2 linked regions of the Oryzias latipes genome follow. The protein of the gene in region 1 purifies or fractionates together with the protein of each later gene. This does not show direct contact. Links are inferred from orthologs where the notes say so. Each region holds a gene or a part of one and is shown in the gene's direction. Other genes may lie near its edges.

The links. Proteins that work in one complex are often made in the same cells at the same time.
Region 2: the proteins of ret (region 1) and stat3 purify together in Homo sapiens (affinity purification with western blotting; 3 studies listed by BioGRID and IntAct, with this or other methods). This does not show direct contact. The link is inferred for Oryzias latipes from reciprocal best matches to the Homo sapiens genes RET and STAT3.

Annotation. Positions count from the first base shown.
Region 1 is NC_019873.2:29,914,954-29,919,986, reverse strand, and holds the start of ret (proto-oncogene tyrosine-protein kinase receptor Ret), read left to right. Parts: upstream 1-1,594; 5' UTR 1,595-1,839; coding exon 1,840-1,915; intron 1,916-5,033. UniProt on the Homo sapiens protein: Receptor tyrosine-protein kinase involved in numerous cellular mechanisms including cell proliferation, neuronal navigation, cell migration, and cell differentiation in response to glia cell line-derived growth family factors (GDNF, NRTN, ARTN, PSPN and GDF15).
Region 2 is NC_019866.2:6,344,461-6,349,507, reverse strand, and holds the start of stat3 (signal transducer and activator of transcription 3), read left to right. Parts: upstream 1-1,433; 5' UTR 1,434-1,632; intron 1,633-3,766; 5' UTR 3,767-3,788; coding exon 3,789-3,916; intron 3,917-4,231; coding exon 4,232-4,475; intron 4,476-4,573; coding exon 4,574-4,666; intron 4,667-4,755; coding exon 4,756-4,837; intron 4,838-4,920; coding exon 4,921-5,021; intron 5,022-5,047. UniProt on the Homo sapiens protein: Signal transducer and transcription activator that mediates cellular responses to interleukins, KITLG/SCF, LEP and other growth factors. Once activated, recruits coactivators, such as NCOA1 or MED1, to the promoter region of the target gene.

The DNA of each region.
Region 1 (5,033 bases):
AAAACCGCACCAACGTGGAGGGTTCTGGACTGGATGGGTAATGAAGCAGGTGAGCTGCTGGTCCGGTGGAAGCTGTGATTGACAGATGATTTGGAGCCAGGGTTGGTTTCCCGTGGAGTGGCGGGAGGTCAAAGGTGGTGGAGACGAGTTTGGTGGGATCCCCTGCAGAATGTCTCAGGGTGCAGATCCTTCTGCATCTTCAAACTGGAACCTGGAGTGGGTGGAGATCCCGGCATCGTTTGTTCTTGTGTGCCGACGCCTTTGCAGCGACTTCTTTAACATGAGACCACTGATCAATATTCTGCTTCTATTTCATCCTGAACTTCTGCTGCAGGCCCCGCCTCCCCTTCATCTGGGAGCATGATCATCAGTACTGAAAACGCACGGCGGCTGCTCAGCATGTTCGCTTCGCCGCATTTCCTCGTCTTATTGATCCACACAGAGTCTCAGGATACCTATAGGCTGCCGTATGGAAACTTTATCTGTTGCGCTCCAGCCGCCTGCTCGGCTCCTGATGTCATGTGATCGTGTCCTCAAACTCCCATGATGCTCTGAGGTGCTTCACACTTGTTCAGATTGTAGAATCCACTCCGTATCAACGTTTTTGATTTTGTGATTCCAAACCAAACCTGAAGGAGTTTTATGAGAATCGTTTCATTATCAGCCCACATAAACAGTCTCCAGCAGATTCTGCATCTTTGTTTTCATCTTATTTATGTCTTTACAGAAATGCAAACTAAACATCTGCAAACAGAGGAATCATTGGTTTTAAAATGGCAGAGGAGGAGGAGGTGCTGTTCTCCTGTCAACAGAGGAAGCTCTGTGACCTCCTGTTCGCTCTGAGAGCCTCACGCTTTGGCATCAGGCAGGGGGTGGAAGGACGCCGCCTTGGCCTCGCCTCAGCATCCCTTCAGCCTGTCATACCTCAGCCCCCCAGGCCCAGGGGAAAGGTCTCCCACAATTTGACCACACATGAAAGGCTCTTGATATGTTAGCATAAAAGGCTAAAATAAGAAAAGTGAGTCATGAAATCAGAATTTAAAAAAGCAAATGCCCAAACAGATACCTGAGAGTCCCTGAACCACAGCATGAAGACGGTCGAGGGAGGCGGGTCTGTCCCTAACATCCAGGACAAAACAAGGGAGATGACCCCCCCAGGGAAGAAGGCAGTGCAGCTGTCAGGAATCACTCAGATGTCTCAGTGAGAAACATTTACGCTCAGAACATCATGACGTCATAAAACATCATCTTTGCCTGTGAATTCTTACGTAAGTTTTAGTTTTATTACAAATAGTTCGTATTTTTATTTCTAAAGCTTTTTTAAGCCGCAGAGAAACTTAAAAAAATGTCATTCTAAAATGTTTGCATAAAAGTGAACAGAATGAAAACAAAGATGAAGGTCCACAGAACAGGTATGAGTTGATGAGCTGCTGATGAATGACCCCCCTCCCCCCGCGCGGGCGAACACACACCCCTGTGGAGCTGCCCATATACACACACACACACACACACACACACACACACACACACACACACACACACACACACACACACACACACACACACACACACACACACACACACACACACACACACACACCCAGCCACCGCTGGAGGAGCCTCTCTCTGCAGCGCGTCGGTGGGACGGTGAGGAGTTCATCTGTCTACCCGGAGCGGCGCGCGCAGGACGCACGCGGGGGTCTGTCTTTTGCGGGTGTCTTCTCCCTTTCAGCGCGAACTTTTTGGGCTTTTCCCGGTTGTGTATCTGTTGCGGGTTGGAAGCAGGAACTTGCGTGGATTGTGTCTGCGTTGAAAACTTTCCCCTAATGGTGGTGCGGGATGGAGTCACGCTGTGGTTTCTGTGCGGGAACAGCCGCTGCGCTGCAGCTGCTGCTGCTGCTGCTGCTGCTTGGAGGTAAGGCGCCGGTTCATCCCGGATAACCGGGAAAACACACCCGGTTTGAGCGGAAAACATGTTATAGTAACTGTGGCTGCGTGGTTTTCACTGCGGACTGCGGGTTTTTTTTGTGTTAGACACCGGAACCAGAACTTTCCGGGATGTATATTAGAGCTAAACTGGACGGAACTTTGACAAATTCATGAACATCTGAAGGAAAAAGCAGCTCAGTGCGCAGAAGTTTGCGCATGTTCAGGTGAAAGAGAAAATGACGAAAAGCTTTTCAGCAGCTGCGTGATTCGAGTGCGTGATGTTCCTCCGATGGCCCGCAGAGAGCGGTCAGTCTGTCGGACACCCCATAATATTATAATCCCATTCACAATCCCACAGCCCAACTGTCCCAACACGGTCTAAATTTAAAGAGTGCGTCACTCAGGAGGCTGGACCCCCAGAAGATCTCTGCTTTTGTTACAGATTCACAATCAGAGTTAGAAGTTGGGGCAAAAAGCTCTGAAATGCCCCATCATCATCGAGCTTCTGCTGCTTTATTTCACCTGAAGTGGGGGCTATTAAACTTCTAATCCCCCCTTTATGGGTGTAGAGCGTCTTTATGCTCTTCATAAAATAAATGCTGTGGTTTTATGATCTTTCACGAGGAAAACAAGTTCAGACTGAAGCCCCAAACATGGCTCCTCCTCTGTGGACCGAAGGTCACCGCTCCCCCCGCTGGATTTACCCAGTCAAGGCTGTGCTGGTAATTAAAGGGGTGCTGAAATCTACACCCGTCCGGCCCGGCACCGCAGCCATCACCTCCATCACCTGGCGGCTCCGAGCAACAAAAGAGCCGCGTGCGTGCCGTGCGTCCAGGCAGGCGCTGCAGGCAGGTGTGCAGCAGCTGCTGTCTCTGGGCAAACATGGCTGTTTGTTTGCAGGAGGTGCAGGGCGCACGCCAACCCGATTCCATCCTGCATGGAGCTGCTGGTTCACTGGAACAAAGATCTTCTGGGTGATGGCGTCACCGTCCTCTGAAGGACTTCTGTTCTTCCCGCCTTCAGGAGTTTACAGTTTGCTGTTTTTTATTCAAATCTATAATAGTGGCGTGTTGAAAGGATCATTTAGAAGCTTCTCTTAGTTAAAGTCCGACATGGGGACAGAAACTGCAGATGAAGTGAAGTTTCTGTCCATCACAGATTTTTGCTGTTATTTATTACAACAACACCTTACTTCGTTGGGTTTTGGATTCAACTAAAATATTGTGTTTTTGAGCGTTTTTCTATCCGGGTCTGGTGGAAATAATCTCATCTGTGGACAGATTGATCCGCCGGAGGAGCGCAGATGTTTTCACATTAAAGCATTGATCCGTTTGTCGTCCTCTCTGACCTTGTTACTGTATCTTTGACCCGGCGCTGACCTCTGACCTGAGGAACTGAAACAAAGTGCTAACACTCCTCCTTCAGCCCAGAGCACCTTCCCCTCATCCTCCTCCTCCTCACTTCAGCATCGTCGCTTTCATCAGCACTTTTTGAGGAGAACCAGACCAATAACTCTCCTTTGACACTTGCTGCTATTTGATTTAGCTCCTGATTGGATCAGACATTTTTCTGTGTAATAGATGCCGTTTCAATGTCACATCCAGCACCACTGAAAGTCTAAGTCATTATTACAACCAAACAGTGGAGGATTCAGAGCTGCTGTTGGAGCAGCTGAAGGTTTTAGATAGTAGAAGAGACATTTGATTAGAAGGTTTTGTGTGGTTACTTCCTCTCTGAGCTGCTTACAGTAAAAACATGATCAGAGCCACAGCATTGGGTTCGAAGCTTTGAGTTTTTGCAACATTTTTGGCATTTTTTGGTGCAAAAGGTGAATTTCCCTGTGGAAGCTGTGAGACTCCGCCCTTCTCCTGCACTCCAGGATGAAGATGCAAAGCGTAAACTCCAGGCTTTTGCTTCCGCTGCTGTTTCCATCGCAGACGAGGCTGCCCCCCGTACCTGTCAGAGCTCTGCGTCTCATCCTGCAGTCAGTTCAGGGTCACACTTCCCTCCCATGCACAGGAACAATCTAATTTGCTGCGGTGAAAGCACAAGGAGACATTGATTGAAATTTCTCCCTCAGGGCATTTAGCCCCCTTGTCTCACATGGGTTTTGACAAGTTATTTTCCAGTTTCCAAGCCGTGCTTACCGAGCCCGACCATCACTTACAACAGCAAATGGATCACAGAGCAAAGTCAGCTCATTCTAATGCACAATGTGCTCTTAACAGTAAAAATTAGGGTTGTGTTTCACCTGAGAGCACGGCTCATTTCTGCAGTCACAGCAACATGTTCTCCTTTTCCTTCCTTTGCTCATTTTCCATCTGTCTCTCTGGCTTCATGTTTATTTTTCCAACAAGCCTTTAGATTTAAGTAGCCCTCAAAATGGCTGTAAGATACCTGCTGCTGAACGGCTGCAACATTAGAACCTTCCAGAAGGCTGAGCCCAGCAAATGACAATGATATGGCTGCACCAAGCTGTATGGAGGTGCGTGGAGGTGCATGAAGGAGCGTGGAGGTGATGGAGGAGCGTGGAGGTGAGTGGAGGTGAGTGGAGGTGATGGAAGTGTGTGGAGGTGAGTGGAGGTGCATGAAGGAGCGTGGAGGTGATGGAGGTGTCTGGAGGTGCATGACAGCTGTGTTGATGTCTGAGCCCTCTGGACCTTCAATAACTGCTTCATGAAAGTGAACATTAAAATGACCCCCCCACACACACCACCCCTCATTGCTCACTGGCTGCTCTCGGCAGGAACGTCTGCAGGAACGTCTGCAGGATCACCTGCGTCTGTGAGGCGTCATAAATGGCGTCCAGCTGCCTTGTGCTGCTTGTGAAGCTTCTTCTGCACATTGAAGCTCCAGAACATCCATGTTGGTTTTGGAGCTTGACGATCGCTCATATGGATCTGTGCTTTCTGCAGAATCTGAAGGAAATCTTGTGGCTTAGCATCAGTTTGGACAAAGGTTTGATGCCCCCCCCACCCCCCACCCCCCAGAGGAATTTCCAAACTGCGGATTTTCTTTGGGGAAATGTTCTGTTGCTTTCTTGCTGAGCGATGAACATGGATCGTTGCATCTCAGCTCTCGTGTTCTCTCAGGGCTAATTGGAT
Region 2 (5,047 bases), on another chromosome or scaffold:
TTACTCACCTCACTTTGCTCACTTTTCTAAGAAAGACAGGAAAAACAGAAATGAGTCACCATGTTCAACATTCGTTTTTTCAGTGCATGTGCGTCTCATTGACAGAACTCTCCCAGTGTTGTGCCTGAGAAGTAGGAAACATCTCAACTGACAATGTCGACATGTGTAAACATCTTGAATTAAAAATAAGCAAAGTGTCATTGATATAGGATTTGGTCCTGCACAACCAAAACTTTCATGGTTTATTTTTCATGGAAACCAGGTGAATTTGTGTGTCTGTTTCTGAATAAAGTGTGTGCACTGCAATTTGAAAAAAAAAAGACTCTGTTCATTAATCTTGAAGAAAAAAAGTCATTTTCTCTTGAAGAAAGGAGCCAAACAAAATGAGAAAAAGCTACTGTAATTGAAATTCTGCAGCTGATAGAATAGATTCAGCCGGTGACACCTCATTTCATTAAAAGCTAAGGACACACGGCTCCAGACAGGAGCAAAGGGTGGTTCCTCTTTGTCTCCCTACAGAGTTGTGATGACCTTGATGTGATGGAGACACATAGACACTCACTCTCTGGCAGAAAACAGCATTAAAATAATCAATGGGTGGGAAAATGCAATTAGGGAGAGTGCACTCTCAGAGCAGGATGGAGAGCAGACTAAAAGAGAAATAAAAAGCATGCACAGGGGTGGAATGATGTTGGTAGAAAATAAGAATGTGTTTATTAATAAGCACATTATTTACAATGGTGGAGGCAGGAAATATGTGTTTTAAGCCTGTAAAATAATACTTTTTTTGTACATTATAGAGTTATTACTTCTAAGAATCATGTGTTTCACTACAGTACATTTGGACTTGTTTAAATTTACAGTCATAACTAACACACTAGGAATAAGGTGAATACATTGCAACAGCAATGTAAGACCTGTTTTGGTTATGTTATTTGCATTTTTAATTAAAAATAAAGAAAACTGTACAACTTTATCGTTTGTTTACATTTTAATATTCAAGCCAGCAGTCAGAGTAGTCAATTAGTCATCATTTCTTTTTTTACTCTTCTACCGTGAAAAAGGTCTGGCTATTGTGAAGCAGTATCATTATCAAATTTGATGACGTCAACGTTGCCGGTAACTCAGATGACTTCCAGGCTGGCTGTTCTCTTGAAATACCAACCCTCCCTCTGAAATAAGCGAAACACACGGGCTTCCGTATAGTTCCGCGGGAGGGAGGGTTTGCTTTGAGGAACAGCTTCGTTGCGACAGCGGTAAACAGAGAAGGCTCAACCAAACTTGCTGCTACATCCCGCCTTATCTCCATATAAAGTCGTTTATAGTTGGTATAAAAAAAATTAGCGACTCTCATTGGCGGAATGAAATGTCAACCAAGTAGATTTGGAAGTTTGTTTGGCTGGAAAGACTGCAGTTTAGTTGATGGGCTGGGCGGGGGGGTACTTGTTTCTGAAAGTGGTTTCTCGTGGTGCGAAGATTACGGTTTGCGTTACACTATATTTGGGAGCACTTTTCCTCGTTTATGACGCTCAATTTCTACTTTTTCTTCGTTAAAAAGTTGTCGCTGACGTCTTTGTGAGCTTGTGTTTTTTGTGGGAAAGAGACCAAACTGCTCCGGATCCAACGAAGGTGGTAAGTCGTGACTCAGCTGTTAACATATTATTACACTAAAAAAAAAAAAAAAAAAACAAAGAAAAATTCAAAATATTGCCATTGTATTAGTTAGTTTTCTCCAAGGATGTCGTGCTAAAGCGAAGCTAGAGCTACAGCCATAACTTAGCTACAGTCAAATGTAATATAATTCTGTGAATGCATCATGCCTAAAGTTAGTGACAGACAGACAGACATCGTGTGCCAGGGGTCTTTCTTACGTAAGTCTTTAAACTAAAGCCATCACACATTTCAATGTTAGTTGCTGAGTGACGTTAGTTAGTAATAATATCACGACCAGGACTCAAAAGTGATGACGTTTTTGTGTTTCTTTTTCGACTATCCGGTGGTTGGTGCCTTAAATTTAAATAATTTACTTGTATGGAGGTCGTTGTTTATTGTTTTTTTCCTTAGTTGTCCCGCCCATCATATTTATGAAGAAAAGTACTGTTGTTCATTCGTAGCACAAATAAGATCTGCAGGTATATTTAAGCCCCCAATAGTTCTGAAAACGTACATAGAATTACATATACATGTATAGTATAAAGCATAAATATGGCTGCATGACAATTTTCTACATAAATATCATAAAATAGCATGCATTGTTGTCCCTGAGCCATCTCGCAGTCCCAGGCTTTGTAAAAGGGAAACTTGGCATGGTGACTGTGCTCTGATGTTTAATAAGGAAGTACTTTCCTGGAATATCACTGACCTTATGTAAGGATTGTGCATTACCAGTAAGTAACCACACAGAAAAGAAAAAAAAACACTACAGCAGTTCTCTTTCTGACTTTCTTATTAATCATTCTGATGATTTCTCAAATAGCAGTGACCTGCATGGAGCTTTGAGAAAGGAAAGAAAACGATTAATCAGTGACTGTAGTGAATTTGTGCGATTTTACATACCTAGATTTCTCAACATGATGCAGCAATGTCTACTTCATATTTCATTAAAATACAAAGATCAAACAGAAAGTTTCAGTGTTGTTGTTGTTGTTGTTGTTTTACTTTTTAGTACAAGGCTTTTCTGAAAATTTGTGATAAAAGTACTCCTGTATTTTTTCATGTAAGGAGGTTCGTTACAAGATTTTGCTTGTATTGCGATTATATATTATTATATATAATTTGCTGCAAAATAACATTAAAATAGTGATAGTACCCTAAAATGAGTTTCCTGTGTTGTGTCAGATAAGCTCTGAATACTCCAGTTTCAGTTTTGCTGTTAGAATAAATAGCATAAAACATTTTTTGTTTGTCCAAATGATATTTATTGCAATGAAAGTTCATACCCTGTATATTATTACAGCTTTGATCTGTATTCTCTGGGCAGGAAGAGCATTATTTTGGCTATTGAGAAGGTCATATGTATGAGTTTATTTTTTGTTTTGCTTTTTTCAAATACAGTGCAAGCATCTAGTTCACATTAGCAGAATCAACAATACAGACACTGTTGTGAGAAAGCTTGTGTAACAATAGTCAAAGCATTGTGTGAGCTTTCGGACAGAAACTGGAGCCTGTAACCTAATATGGGTGGTACAGGACATGTCTTTCTGTTAAATGCCTTGAATGGGAGCTCAATTTGCAAACAAGGAAGCAGTAGCCATCTTTTATCAGCTGAGTCAGCCAGCAGGATGTGATCGATAAATTCAAAAACAACAAAAAGTCCCAGATCGGCAGGTGGTTAATGCTTAAAACACACGCTCGGATTTGAAGGGAAATCCTAATCTGACAGTCGCCTATCGCTTCAGAGGAAATGGTTTGTCTGGGTTTTGATCCATGCCCTCTGCATCTGAGAGGAAGAAGTTTGCTTTGTCGGTGTTTCATGCAAAAGTTGCCGGGGCAATTCTTTGACCAGAGATAAGCTTTTCAATGCTTTACAGCTGTTCACTCTGACCTATATTTTTTAGGGGAAGGCACAGTTTCAGAGAACAGGAAATGACTTTTGGCAACGCGAGGCCTCAGCATTGGCCTGTTGTCGTTTTCAGAGAAATCTGATGTTCAACCATTTCCCATTGGTGCAGTCTGATGAAGAACATTGAGCGCGGTTTTCTAAAGTATCATTTTCTGTTGATTTTCTGCCTGTTTTGTGTTGATAAAGCAGTTTCATCTCTGGCAGATTTGAGGCAGTGCTTGTCAGGATGGCTCAGTGGAACCAGTTACAGCAGCTGGAGACCAGGTATCTGGAGCAGCTCTACCACTTGTACAGCGACAGCTTTCCAATGGAGCTACGCCAGTTTCTTGCACCCTGGATTGAAAGTCAAGACTGGTAAGAAATGATTCAAGTCTTTGTTTAAAAAGTCTGCTTTTATCTGCTAGATAAAGCTGACCTTGATCTTTCAGGGCTTTTAGGTTTGCAGCTATGAAGTCATAGCTCATATAAACACTTTCTCTCACATTTTATGTTACTGCAATGCACTTTACCATGTTCAATTTGAACTTTTTGTGTTGTGATCACACACAAAAATTATAGTCTTTAAATATTTTCACAAAGTTGGGATTTCTTTTCAATAAACCTGGGAATTTTGTGTTGTTGGAATCTGGAAATCGATATGTTTTTGTGTTCCCCCCACTATTTTCTAAGGGCCTATGCTGCCAACAAAGAATCCCACGCCACCCTGGTGTTCCACAATCTCCTGGGAGAAATTGATCAGCAGTATAGCCGTTTCCTCCAGGAGAACAATGTCCTCTACCAACACAACCTGCGCAGGATAAAGCAGCATCTGCAGAGCAAGTATCTGGAGAAGCCAATGGAAATCGCCCGCATTGTCGCCCGCTGTTTATGGGAGGAACAGCGACTGCTGCAGACAGCCACCTCTACTTCCCAGGTGCCTAGTCTTTCTCAAACTTCAAGGTTTTATTGGTGAAATTACCGGTAATTTGAACGGGAACGTTTGAATGAGGCGTGCTGCTTCGTCTCTCACAGGATGGTTCAGCAGCCCATCCCACCGGAACAGTCGTGACGGAGAAGCAGCAAATTCTGGAGCACAACCTTCAAGATATCAGGAAGCGCGTTCAGGTTAATATTGTTCAAAACCCACTTGGTTTTTATTTAAACACGAAAAAAAGTTCTATATATACATGTATATATATCTTTATATTTTGCAGGACATGGAACAGAAGATGAAGATGCTTGAAAACCTGCAAGACGACTTTGATTTTAATTACAAAACCCTGAAAAGCCAAGGAGGTAGAATATTTACGAGTGCTGAGTTATTCTCACCCAGGATTGTGAAGACTAACGTGCCCGATCACCTGTTGCTCCAACACTAGAGCTGAACCAGGACTTGAATGGAAACAGCCAGGCAGCTGCCACTCGACAGAAGATGGCTCAACTTGAGCAGATGTTGAGCGCTTTAGATCAGCTCAGGCGGGTCAGTGGTTTTCATACGGTGACGGG